Linked DNA regions of Drosophila melanogaster. The protein of the gene in region 1 interacts with the protein of each later gene in a pairwise test. Each region holds a gene or a part of one and is shown in the gene's direction. Other genes may lie near its edges. The genes, in order: CG14054, LpR1 and CG42299.

Region 1 (3,714 bases):
TTATCTGTATTGTTATCTCCGTTTCTCTTTGCTTGTCTCTTTACATGATGGCTTCGGCAGGTGGTGCCGTGGGTTCCTACCAGTCCAAGTGCAGCAACCAGAGTCCCAGTACAACCATGTCGACGGAAGAGTCTTCGCCGGATTCGGAGTACACAAGTGCGGTCCCCGTGGACTGCAGAGTTACGGATCTGAAGGAGAACGAAATGAAGCAGGTGGACTTCGATGAGGACACCCGCGTGCTGCTCGTGAAGCAGAACGATCGTCTGCTAGCAGTGGGTGCTAAGTGCACCCATTACGGAGCTCCGCTCCAGACTGGAGCTTTGGGTTTGGGTCGTGTCCGCTGTCCTTGGCACGGCGCTTGCTTTAACCTGGAAAACGGAGACATTGAGGACTTTCCTGGTCTCGATTCCCTGCCATGTTATCGCGTGGAAGTGGGTAACGAGGGACAGGTGATGCTCCGTGCAAAGCGATCGGATCTGGTGAATAACAAGCGACTCAAGAACATGGTCCGACGCAAGCCCGACGATCAGCGAGTGTTCATCGTGGTTGGCGGTGGTCCTTCTGGCGCTGTAGCCGTGGAAACCATCCGACAGGAGGGCTTTACTGGGCGCCTAATCTTTGTGTGCCGCGAAGACTATCTGCCCTACGATCGCGTTAAGATCTCCAAGGCTATGAACCTTGAGATCGAGCAGCTGCGGTTCCGCGACGAGGAGTTCTACAAAGAGTACGATATCGAACTGTGGCAAGGAGTCGCCGCCGAGAAGTTGGATACCGCTCAGAAAGAGCTGCACTGCAGCAATGGCTACGTGGTGAAGTACGATAAAATCTACCTGGCCACAGGCTGCTCCGCCTTCCGGCCGCCTATTCCCGGTGTTAACTTGGAGAACGTCCGCACTGTCCGAGAGTTGGCGGATACAAAGGCGATATTGGCATCGATCACCCCGGAGTCCCGCGTCGTCTGTCTGGGATCGAGCTTTATCGCCTTGGAGGCAGCTGCTGGGTTGGTCTCCAAAGTGCAAAGCGTCACGGTTGTGGGTCGTGAAAACGTCCCACTTAAGGCCGCATTCGGCGCGGAGATTGGTCAGAGGGTGCTCCAGCTGTTCGAGGACAACAAGGTGGTCATGCGCATGGAGAGCGGCATCGCCGAGATCGTTGGCAACGAAGACGGCAAGGTATCAGAGGTGGTGCTGGTAGATGACACGCGTCTGCCTTGCGATCTGCTGATCTTGGGCACTGGCTCCAAGCTCAACACCCAATTTCTGGCCAAGTCGGGCGTGAAGGTAAATCGTAACGGATCCGTGGACGTCACTGATTTCCTGGAGTCCAATGTACCCGATGTGTATGTGGGCGGTGATATAGCAAACGCCCACATTCACGGGCTGGCCCACGATCGCGTGAACATCGGGCATTACCAGCTGGCTCAATACCATGGACGAGTGGCGGCCATCAACATGTGCGGCGGGGTAAAGAAGCTGGAGGCCGTGCCCTTCTTTTTCACCCTCATCTTCGGCAAGGGAATTCGGTATGCCGGGCATGGCTCTTACAAGGATGTGATCATTGACGGCAGCATGGAGGACTTTAAGTTTGTGGCCTACTTCATCAACGAGGCGGATACGGTGACAGCGGTGGCTTCGTGCGGCCGGGATCCGATTGTGGCCCAGTTTGCCGAGCTAATCTCGCAGGGCAAGTGCCTCGGTCGTGGCCAGATCGAAGACCCGGCCACCCGTGAGGACTGGACAAAGAAGCTTGGCCAGCCGTTGCCCCAAGTTCGCTAAATAATCAACTTAATGTGTATTACCGCTGAGATTTGTTGTTATATTTTCATGCAATCGTTGAGTATTTATTATGGGTACTCGTATGCAAAACTCTATAAACGTGTAACTATATCTGTGTATATTTATAATTGTAGTTGTGGGGACTTCCTTGAGTTCCCGCCGCGGTTGCCACTTTTGGCCCAAGAGATCAAAGATGTAAGCGTTTCATTCCCTTGCCACACAATGGCGTATTGGTTTACTTTTGCTAAATAAAGAATTTTAACGTTTCGTATTTAAAACAATAGTTTTGGCTTTTTTCCTATTGATGAATTTCAAACAAGGTCGTTAGCTCCTCGCTTCACCCGTTAACTTACAAACGGTTTTATCCGTGAGTATTTCCGTACTTTCCACACTTGCTTATTTTTACACAGTCTAACTAATTGTTCGCGTTCAAACCGAAATTCCAAATTAGGAACGTAACTCTAGAATCGATGGCCTCACCTAGTCGGAGTTCCCAGCGATCCCTGCTTAACGCAGGCCTCCAATTGTTTACCACAAAGCTGGGTAGGACCCAGCACACGGTATGGCTTTTGAAAATGGTCATGTGGGGTGTACTAACTTACCACTTTGTCGGCGAATAGCTTCCGCTGAGTGATTTATCCTCGCTGCATGGTGTCGACCTACATCATCAGAATACTGTACCGACTGGGATGTCCCAGCAGCTGGCGGATGTCCAGAAGCGCACCCAATTTCTTGAGGAGCGGAACCGCCAGCTCAGGAATCTGGTTTGTAAAGATTCGTCCGACCACTGTTTGTAGTAAAAGCAGTTCCTCCTCAGGCGCTGGATAAATCTGACCTCTTCGAGTCACGAACTGCCATGCTGTGCTCCCGAGCTTTCGACATCAGTCAGGAACTGTTCGTAACCAGGATGAGGATTAACGACGTGGAGAACGCCTGCACTGAACTTCGAAGGTATTGTACTGACCGCAGTCGTCTAGTTGGGCTATCTAGTCTGTTCTTCCACAGTCGCATCCTGGACGTAAAGCTGCGACGCATCCAGCGTCTCCGGCTCCTCTGCCACGAGATACAGAAACTGCAAGAAGCACTGGAACACCAGCTGCCCCCGATCCTGATGCACGTCTGGCACAGACTTTGTTTCCTATGGAACTGTGTGGACTGCCTGGCGCTTGTGTCCTGCGGGGCCCGTCCCGTCTTCGAGGCAGAGAGCAAAATGGATAAAATGGATGCCCTCAATCTCTTCGTGGCGGGCTTCTGACATGTTCCGCCTTGTCCTGGCCCTTTAGTATTTTAAACACTGGTTATCGAGCACCGCCGAGTTATCGACAGTAATCGGCTAATCGAGTCGGGAAAAAGTTACTTTAAACCATTGTAAATCACTATAGAATACCGACACTGAAATGTAGAATGTAGTCATAAAACTTTTTTATTACGTGTTTAACCATTCTGCGACTAGTTTTTTTTTGTGCATAATATCGTAAAGCTTTAGCGATTATTTTCGAAACAACATATCGCCATATCTACTGTTGCGATAACTTTCGAAGTTACCTATCGAACTGTTTGAACAACCGATGGTTTTCGAAGACACTATCGCAAATCGCATACCGAAGTGATTTCTGGTGCATTTTTGTTTCTTGTTTGTGCACGTGCAGAACGCAAATAAATGCGCCGAGCCTGAGTCAATGCGAGCGGACAGGAGGACAGCGGATAGCGGGCGGCCATGGATCAATTCTCGCACGATCTGACGTTGGCTCTGGACCTGACGCTGATGGACAGGGCTAGTGGCGGCGTCGGTAGGTGGGGCTCCCGCCGCAGGACACGTTCCACGGGCAATCTGCGTAAGTAGCCATCGCACGCCGACTCCTGCTCGCGGTAACCCCCCTCTGCTTAGCCTGCGCCCCTCAGCCCACGGAGGACTCCTCGAGCAGTCCCACGGATGCGC
Region 2 (5,123 bases), on another chromosome or scaffold:
TAAAGAACACTGATCATTATCTGGCCAAGCGATAGTTGATAGATGGGCTGGCCCTTCACGCCTGCCAAAACCACAATAGACACATATGTATGTATTGGTGTATATATATATGTACATATGTTTTCCTAAACTCACACTCGACAAAACTTGAACACACGGCACGGGGCTGCAGGGCGATAAAATGCAGTGTCAATTGAAGTGCTTGATTAGGCGATTTGCGAGCGATTCGCCAGCGATTTCCAACGCCTGCAATTAGAGACGGCGGCGCACTGCAAAATATACAGAATGGTTGGCAGGGGCGTTGGTTTGGTGGGGGTTTTCCGACGGCTCTGTCATTCACAAGCATCGCGGGGTGGTGCTTGAAAAATGATTTACACGCGCAAATCATAAATTATGCCCATTTCAAGTGGACCGTTACGCCGGAGAATCCATGACAAATGCAGATGACGCCCAAGCACCGATGACGATGGTGATTGCAATGCAATCTAATGGCTGATATGATGGTGATTGTGATTGCGGGTTTGATTGAGATTTCCATTGGTACTGGGATGCTGCTAGTGCCGATAATTGTTTTGAAGATGACGCATTTTAAATGACTGACCCTAACCGAACCCATTGTCCGCTGGCTGCGATTTTTCACCGCCTCTTATCATCGACGTCAGTCAACGCAACTCTAACCAAGCCAAAAGCCAATGAAATCAAATCCACGACACTCCAGTTCAATTTCGAATTTCACACCACTTTCAATCGGACCCACACCTGGTTTGATTGAAAGCGGCGACACTTTCAATGCTAATGAGCTGCGATTCCGTTTACCAATCGCCGAAAGGCATTTCAGTTCGCATCGGTCTTCGCTGGGCATCACACCGTAAAACCTTCCGGGTCCCAAAAAAAAATCAAAAGAATTAAGTATATTCAAAATACCTATTTGATACCTGGATATAGTTTCGGTGGGCCCATGCAGAACGTCACGACTGTCGTACGATTATCGGCACAATTCTCACGTCCGGTTGTCCAGCTTAATTAAAAAATATCTTTGTTTTTCGCACTGATAAACGCGGTGGCAACGCAAAAAGGAAGTCTAGATACATACAGTCTGAAAAACGTATTTTCGTACAGTACGATGTTTAAAAGTGATCTCTGTGTGCTGATTGTGATCTCCTTGGCGTTTTCCTTACATTCAGGTTGGTACTGTAGAAAATAGGATTTTTTCCGAGGTCTGAAACTGCTCTTAATTCGGAGCCCTTAACCACTTATTTTTAATTAGACTTTAATATCAGATTGAATAATTGGCTGACCAATTACATGTACATCTAAGTACACTTTGTGCGATTACCCTATATAACCTTTGTTGGTTCGCAAACATCATTCTCAAGTTAGCACTTGAGTCCTTCTTTTTCTTTCTCAGGGGATATTTGCCCAACTTGAGTATAAAATAACAAAACGTATTTTTAAATTAAAGTGGATTCTTGGCATTACGACAAGATAATTATCACTACTTATTCAATATATTTCCACGGAATTCTGTCTAGTTGTGAAATCAGTCGCAATATTCCGAAAGTAGTATGATCCCTTATCATAAAAAATACTTTAATTTCTAAGGCGTAGGTTTATAACTTAAGAAATGATTGATCGATTCTTAATAGCTGGGATTCGTTAGCATGTTGCTTTTGTTTTTTAAATAAATTATCTCAGTTGAAGAAGCATTTAAAATTCTTGTAGTTTTTAAACAATGCTTCTGTAATAGTTGTATCTATAGATCGCCCAACGATTCCTTGCCCAATCTATCCATTCACATCAACGTACGCTCCATTGATCACTGATCAACTGGTTTGCCTTAAGAGCACCTTGTACGTTAGTAATCTTTTGGGGAGCTAAGAGTGGAATACAGCATCGATTAAATTCAGAGAGTGCTCCGATCTGCCAGATCACTCTTTATGTATCTCTTCGACGGGGTCTGGTCAGTTTCTTGTCAGTTTTGATAAGGCCACCTTAAGACGGTGCAAAAACAAGCACAATCGCAAACGACAGTTACTCTCGGCTCTCGAATTAAAATCGCTGGCGATTCGCTTAAATTTGCAGGCCAATTCTCTAAGCGAATTCAGTTGAAAAAGGCGCGTTGTGCGAAACGGGCATCACAGTTTTTTGCGGTTTATTTTCAACTTAAAAACCAAATAAAAAACACAAAAGAAACAAACAAAGCGAAATAAAAACAAACCTCATGTAATTCAAACATTCTACAGATTTAAATGCAATGATCTGTTTCTGAAATAAATTTGGAAAGACGCGATTAGCACGTGCCGCACATTCGCAGACACCTTGAAAATACCGCAAAAATAAATCAAAATAAAAGGCAAAACTGATAAGAGTTTATTTATCCGGGCGATTTGACGCGTGCTAGCTACAAATATCGGCAACAACAATATTTAATTAATTTATTTGCGCGATCGGAGGGGGCGTGGCCGTCCGCTCAACTAAATTTTAAATTATACTTCGGCTTTATTAATTGCCAACGTCAACAGAAACGTTTTTGTTTCTCTATAAAAATTAAGGGAAAACTTGTTTTTCTTGCTAATATACAATTATTATCAAATATTTTACTTATCGTTTATAATTTCCATATTTTACTCAAAATAAATGTTATTTCTCGTTAAGTACATATATAATTATTTTCAAAGTTTAATATATAAATGAATTTTCTGTGTAATTTTATGCGTTGCTTTTTTTCTCTCTTCGCATTTTTCGGTGATTTTGTTGTTGTCCGATATTTTTGCTTAAATTTTTTTTTTTCGGCCTTTTCGGTTTTTGTATTTTTTTTTAGCTACGTCGCGTTTTTGTGTGTCGCACGATTTTCAACCAGTTTCTTCAGTCTTCTCATCTCGAAATAAGAAATGTGAAGAGAGACGAAAGTAAAAGAGAATTGGCCGGATCGTGTGTTTATTTTATTTTTTGGCTGGCAAGCGATTCTTCCAATGTTTTTGCGTTAATGCTTGCGTTTATTTTTACGTTGACGCTGGTTCTTTTGGCCATTTCTCTGATTAGATAATCTCTGGCGAAGATCTCACGCTTCCTGCTTAGATAATCTATTCAACCAGGGTCACCAGAAATCACCCCACTTAATTTTCCCCTATCGAATACAGTGTCTATACAAACCTTGTAAGATCGAAGTGATAAAAGTGTGAAAAAAGCATTAAACAGACAGCATAAATTAAAGCAAAAGAAGAGTGAAGGCAAGCAAAATACCGTACCATGGCCATAGAGTCACGCTCTACGAGCACTGCAAGTGAAACCACAAAAACCGCCATAAAATCAACCACAAGCTCAAAATCTCCAGTAACATTCGGTAATCTCGGCGAGAAAAGACGCGCCGAACAGCTGTTCCGCTGCGCATGCGCCAACTTCAATCTCCTGCTCCTGACTTTAATGCTCGGATTCGGCAAATGCTGCACTGCCACGCCCACGCCGCTGAACACGCCCTCAACGAACACGCCCACCTCGGCAGTTAGCCCACATAATCCACAAACGCTGGACGAGAGCGGATCGCTGAGCAAGGTGATCGATGGCAAAGCCTTCATCAACATGGGATTCAAGTTCCTCAACGTTTCCGGAAAGATTGGCACACCCCTCGGCATAGGTGAGAAATGCATTGGCTGATTGAAAAAACCGGCGAAAATAGCGAAAAACCAGAAAAAAAGATCGCACAAGGGGGGGCACAAAGTGCGATGTTTGTTTATAGCCTAGCTTGTGCTAATTTTAGACCACAGATGTCGTCGAGGTTGAAGTCGAAAATGAAGTTTGGATACCCTGGCTTGGGGTATATATAAAATGATTCATTTAATCTTTTCAACTTGATGCCTATTTACAAATATGTAAAATGAAAAAAAATTTGTATTAATAACTGCGTTGTAGAACAAAGTAAAGTACTTAGCTTGAGCTGATAACTTAAAATTAAAGCGCGTGCAATCGAATTACAATTTAATCGTTAAAGAATTATCAACCAATGCTAAGAAGCTTTTCATTAAACTTTATTAAGCTGATAGTGTTTGAGTATTTAGTTATTAAATTATCCCCAAGCCATTGAGCAATGTAAACGATTATTTCAAAATATTACATTATCTTCGCAACTCCAAGCAATCCTCTTTGAATGGAAAGTAAGCAGTTTTGACTTATATGAGTCAATAATAACATTTAAGATATATGGCCTTTCCATTATACTGCTTAATTTATAATCATCACAATCTTGGTCACAAGGGTATCACCTGCATGTCGAGTCATTCAAATGGCTTTGCTCACTTCACACTTCGTGCACTTAAAATGGGCTCAGTTAAAAAGATACAGATACAAGCACTAATGCAGTTGCAGATACAGATACAAAAGTGCACCTTCCACTTGTTGCACACACACAGACGGTATGCGGACCTACTGTTACCGTGGTATCGAAATAGCCGAGAATTTTTTATCCACTTCCGCATTGATTTCCGCCTGGCTGACCATCGAGAATCTGTATCTTCTAATGGCTAAGCGATAGGAAAAGCGTTTGGCGTCTATCTGTGACGTTATTTTGTGGCGCGGGGCATTCCAATCATAAATCTAACTTTAAATCTAGCCACCTGTTTTGGCCAATATGGATTTACGTTTAGTGCTAGCCCCGAACTGGGGATTATCTTATCGGTCAATTTTACGATTTGTTTTTATGCATTTTTCGACCGCCGGGATTTCGCGACTTGAAGATAAGTGGACAATAAAGGGCAGTCAGACAATAGAAATTTCCTTCTATAAATCAAGAATTAATGGATTGATAGTGCAAGGAGCTTTGAATTGGTGCCATAAGTCATTCAAATGATCTTGAAAACATATAGATAAAAGAATATGAAGTGTGAAAACTACGATTGTTATAAATTAATATTTAATTTTTAAGACGTATTAGAGCAGTTATCCTAACCAAAATAATTTATTTTTATTGTTCACACATTTTGGTTTGAAACTATTTTTAAATAGCTAAATTTTTTAAGCAGTTCGCACTTTTGAAAATCAATCAACATATTGAGTGCCAAAAAATAGTCTTAAGGCTAAATCTGCCACATTTACTTGCATTTTTGTACTTTGCTCTTGGGAATCTTGGA
Region 3 (3,111 bases), about 14 Mb from region 1:
TAGCGCCGCCCATGACGAGGACCTTATCATGGAAGCCACCGGCGGCGAGGTCTTCTCGCTCTACGATCCCTGGTCCAAAGCCTTGATAAAGAACCCCGTGCGCAACAAAAAGTGCGGCCACATCTACGACCGCGACTCGGTGATGCTGATCATCACGGACAACATTGGTATTCGATGCCCAGTGCTCGGCTGTCCCAACAGGTCCTACATCCATCCAGCGCACCTGGTCAAGGACTCCAACCTACAGCAGAAGTTGCAAGAGCGCATGTCTGACGCGATCGAGAAAGAAACTTCCTCGGAGGAGGACGATGAACAGGCAGATCATTAATTATGCGCAACTTCCTTCTTGTCGACTAATAACGCAGCGTAAGATATCACGTTCTTGTAAGACAACCATTTGATGAAAATTTAAGGTACAACGAATAAACATGTTTTAAAAATAGTCCCGAAAAAATTTAGAGAAAATATATTAGAAGTGCAGTATGCACGTATGTATATAGTTTGCGATTTATTTAGAAAATTGGTACAAATGTAGAAACAAATGAATATATAGCACGATTGCCATCGAAATCATCGCCGAAACATTCTAGCGAGTCTTTGCCGCAGACGATCCACATCAGACTCATATGGCACCAATGGCACCTTGTCATTATCCGGATCGCTACTATCTTCAGAGGAGATCCAGACTGATTTACCATTGCTAAGCTTCGGCTCTGAATCCCCGCAAGCCATGGGGTCCTTCAGCATGGCTGCTTCCTCATTGTTTTTGGTTTTTTGCCGGAAAAAGCTTCCGGCATGGGTGCCTTGGTCAATGGGCCAGCTGTTGGCGACTTGCGCTGGAAATCTCTACAAATAACGAAGAATCTATCGGGAGCGGTGAACGGAATAATGAAATCGGTGAGCTCTATGAAGAATCGTAGGACTTCATTGTTTCGTTTAGAAAACCTATCAACTTGTATGCGTAAAGCATTTTCTTGAAATGGTCATCTTAAAAATGCTGTGCTTTGCAAATAGTTAAGTATTATCCGCTCGGATATGTGAATCAACTGAGGTCCTCACGCCAAATTATAAATGTGACTTGTAGACTGCAAAGTCATCGCCTTCTTTTTTGAGTTCTTGACACAAGCAAAAAGGGTTGCCATGGCGTTGTCATGCCCTTGGAGATAAAACCTCTAGACTCAAATATTCTTATTATGTTCCGCTGACATAATAAGTATTAGTGTTTTTATTTCATAATAAATTATGCAATTTACAGCATCGGAAATTGGTAGCTTCAGTATAATATTATCAAATATATTCAGTTTTATACCCGTTACTCGTGAAAGGGTATAGTAGATTTGTTAAAAAGTATGTAACTGGCAGAAGAAAGCGTTTCCGACCATATAAAGTATATATATTCTTGATCAGGAACAATAGCCGAGTCGATCTGATCATGTCCGTATGAACGCCGAAATCTGAGGAACTATAAAAGCTAGAAGGTTGAGATTAACCATACAGATTCTAGAGACATAGACGCAGCGCATGCCCATATTGCCACGCCCACTCTAATGCCCACAACCCAACAAAATAAAATAAATAAAAAACTTCCCCATGTTCAAAATTCTACCGATCCGCCATCTGCACTAACTGACCGACGCTAACTCACCTACGCTAACTTGACGCACATCACGATTATTAACGGTTCTCAAAAGAACGATTACACCCTCGATAGGCTGCCTGTCGAAATTATCGGTCCTAGCTTAACCGAAGCGTCAGTCTTGACATTTCGATCTAAATATTCTGGATTTGCAATTTGAAAAGCGTCTGAATAAAATTTATGATCAAAATGGACCCGAAATCCCACCAAAAGCTCTTCAGGGAAATGGCAGAAGGTGAGCCATGTGACAAACCGAGACATCTTTAACATCTTTAAAACACACCCACCCACAGTCGTGTCCAATTCCAGCGATGACGGGGAGAAGTTGCTAACCAAAAACTCTAGCAACACCATCGAGAAGTCCGAGGAAGTCTGCAAGGAGCGCCCCGAAGCTGTGGAGCAGATGCGCATCGATGTCAATAACTCACTTGAGGACACGAACTACATGAATGCGGTGGAATCAGAAGCTCAAAAGAATATCGCCGGCCTTGATGAGGACCTTATCATGGAAGACTTCGGCGTCGAGGTCGTCCCGTTCCACGATCCCTGGTCCAAGCTCCTGATAAAGCACCCCGTGCGCAACAAAAGGTGCGGTCATATCTACGACCGCGAAACGGTTTTAATGATCATCAAGGACAACATTGGCATCCTATGCCCGGTGCGCGACTGTCCCAACTTGTCCGACATCAAGTTAGAGCACCTGGTCAAGGACCCCGACGTGGAGCAGGAGTTGCAAAAGCGCAAGTCCGACAAGATCAAGAATGAAACTTCCTCGGATGAGGACTAAGAACAGGCAGGTCATTAATTATATATAAAAAGCGCCTTTAAACTTTAGATTTTAATATGACTTCAAGTCTTGTTGAGAATTAACTTTATAAATAAAAAACACTCCTTTGGAATTTTTTGATACTTTTTTATACCCGTTGTAAAGTTAAAGGCTATACTAGAATTGTTGAAGTGTATGTAACAGGAAGATGGAAACGTTTCCGACCATATGAAGTATATATATTCTTGATTAGGATCAATAGCCGAGTCGATCTTTTCATGTCCGTATGAGCGCCAAAATTTCAGGAATTATAAAAGCTAGAAGGTTGAGATTCACCATACAGATTCTAAAATTAAAATTAAATTAAATTTATTAAATTTCGCTTTCGCATTCACACTAGCCGAGTAACGGGGAATTTGACTATATCATTCTCTCTTGTTGTATATTGCAATCAACTTTTCAATAGTGAGTTAAGCGATATGTCTGTTATTCAGTAGTGACTTAAGCGATATCACTGTTGTGCATATTTGTCCATCTCTAACACTAATGTTTTGGTAAACAAGAAGAACCAAATTAGACATGAGCTACATACAATTTGAAAGCGGCAGAGAAAAGGATAAGGCGCGCCAGGAGCTCCGGGAGGCCCGGGAGGCGATGCTGCAGCAGGCCAAGGAGCGGGCGGAACTGCGTGGGCAGCGGGAGAGGCAGA

What was found.
Region 2: the proteins of CG14054 (region 1) and LpR1 interact in a two-hybrid assay, tested with the Drosophila melanogaster proteins (one large-scale study listed by BioGRID).
Region 3: the proteins of CG14054 (region 1) and CG42299 interact in a two-hybrid assay, tested with the Drosophila melanogaster proteins (one large-scale study listed by BioGRID).

The regions. Positions count from the first base shown.
Region 1 is NC_004354.4:2,064,770-2,068,483, reverse strand, and holds CG14054 (uncharacterized protein), read left to right. Parts: upstream 1-2,124; 5' UTR 2,125-2,245; coding exon 2,246-2,335; intron 2,336-2,377; exon of another isoform or gene 2,378-2,395; coding exon 2,396-2,539; exon of another isoform or gene 2,540-2,592; coding exon 2,593-2,726; intron 2,727-2,739; exon of another isoform or gene 2,740-2,780; coding exon 2,781-3,030; 3' UTR 3,031-3,211; downstream 3,212-3,714. Other genes in the region: CG4199 (uncharacterized protein), read left to right, coding at 61-1,775; CG4281 (uncharacterized protein), read left to right, coding at 3,493-3,610, 3,664-3,714.
Region 2 is NT_033777.3:25,757,303-25,762,425, reverse strand, and holds the start of LpR1 (lipophorin receptor 1), read left to right. Parts: upstream 1-2,103; 5' UTR 2,104-2,223; intron 2,224-3,140; 5' UTR 3,141-3,249; coding exon 3,250-3,634; intron 3,635-5,123.
Region 3 is NC_004354.4:15,574,369-15,577,479, reverse strand, and holds CG42299 (uncharacterized protein), read left to right. Parts: upstream 1-1,796; 5' UTR 1,797-1,816; coding exon 1,817-1,871; intron 1,872-1,929; coding exon 1,930-2,423; 3' UTR 2,424-2,533; downstream 2,534-3,111. Other genes in the region: cerv (cervantes), read left to right, coding at 1-328; CG9213 (uncharacterized protein), read left to right, coding at 2,982-3,111.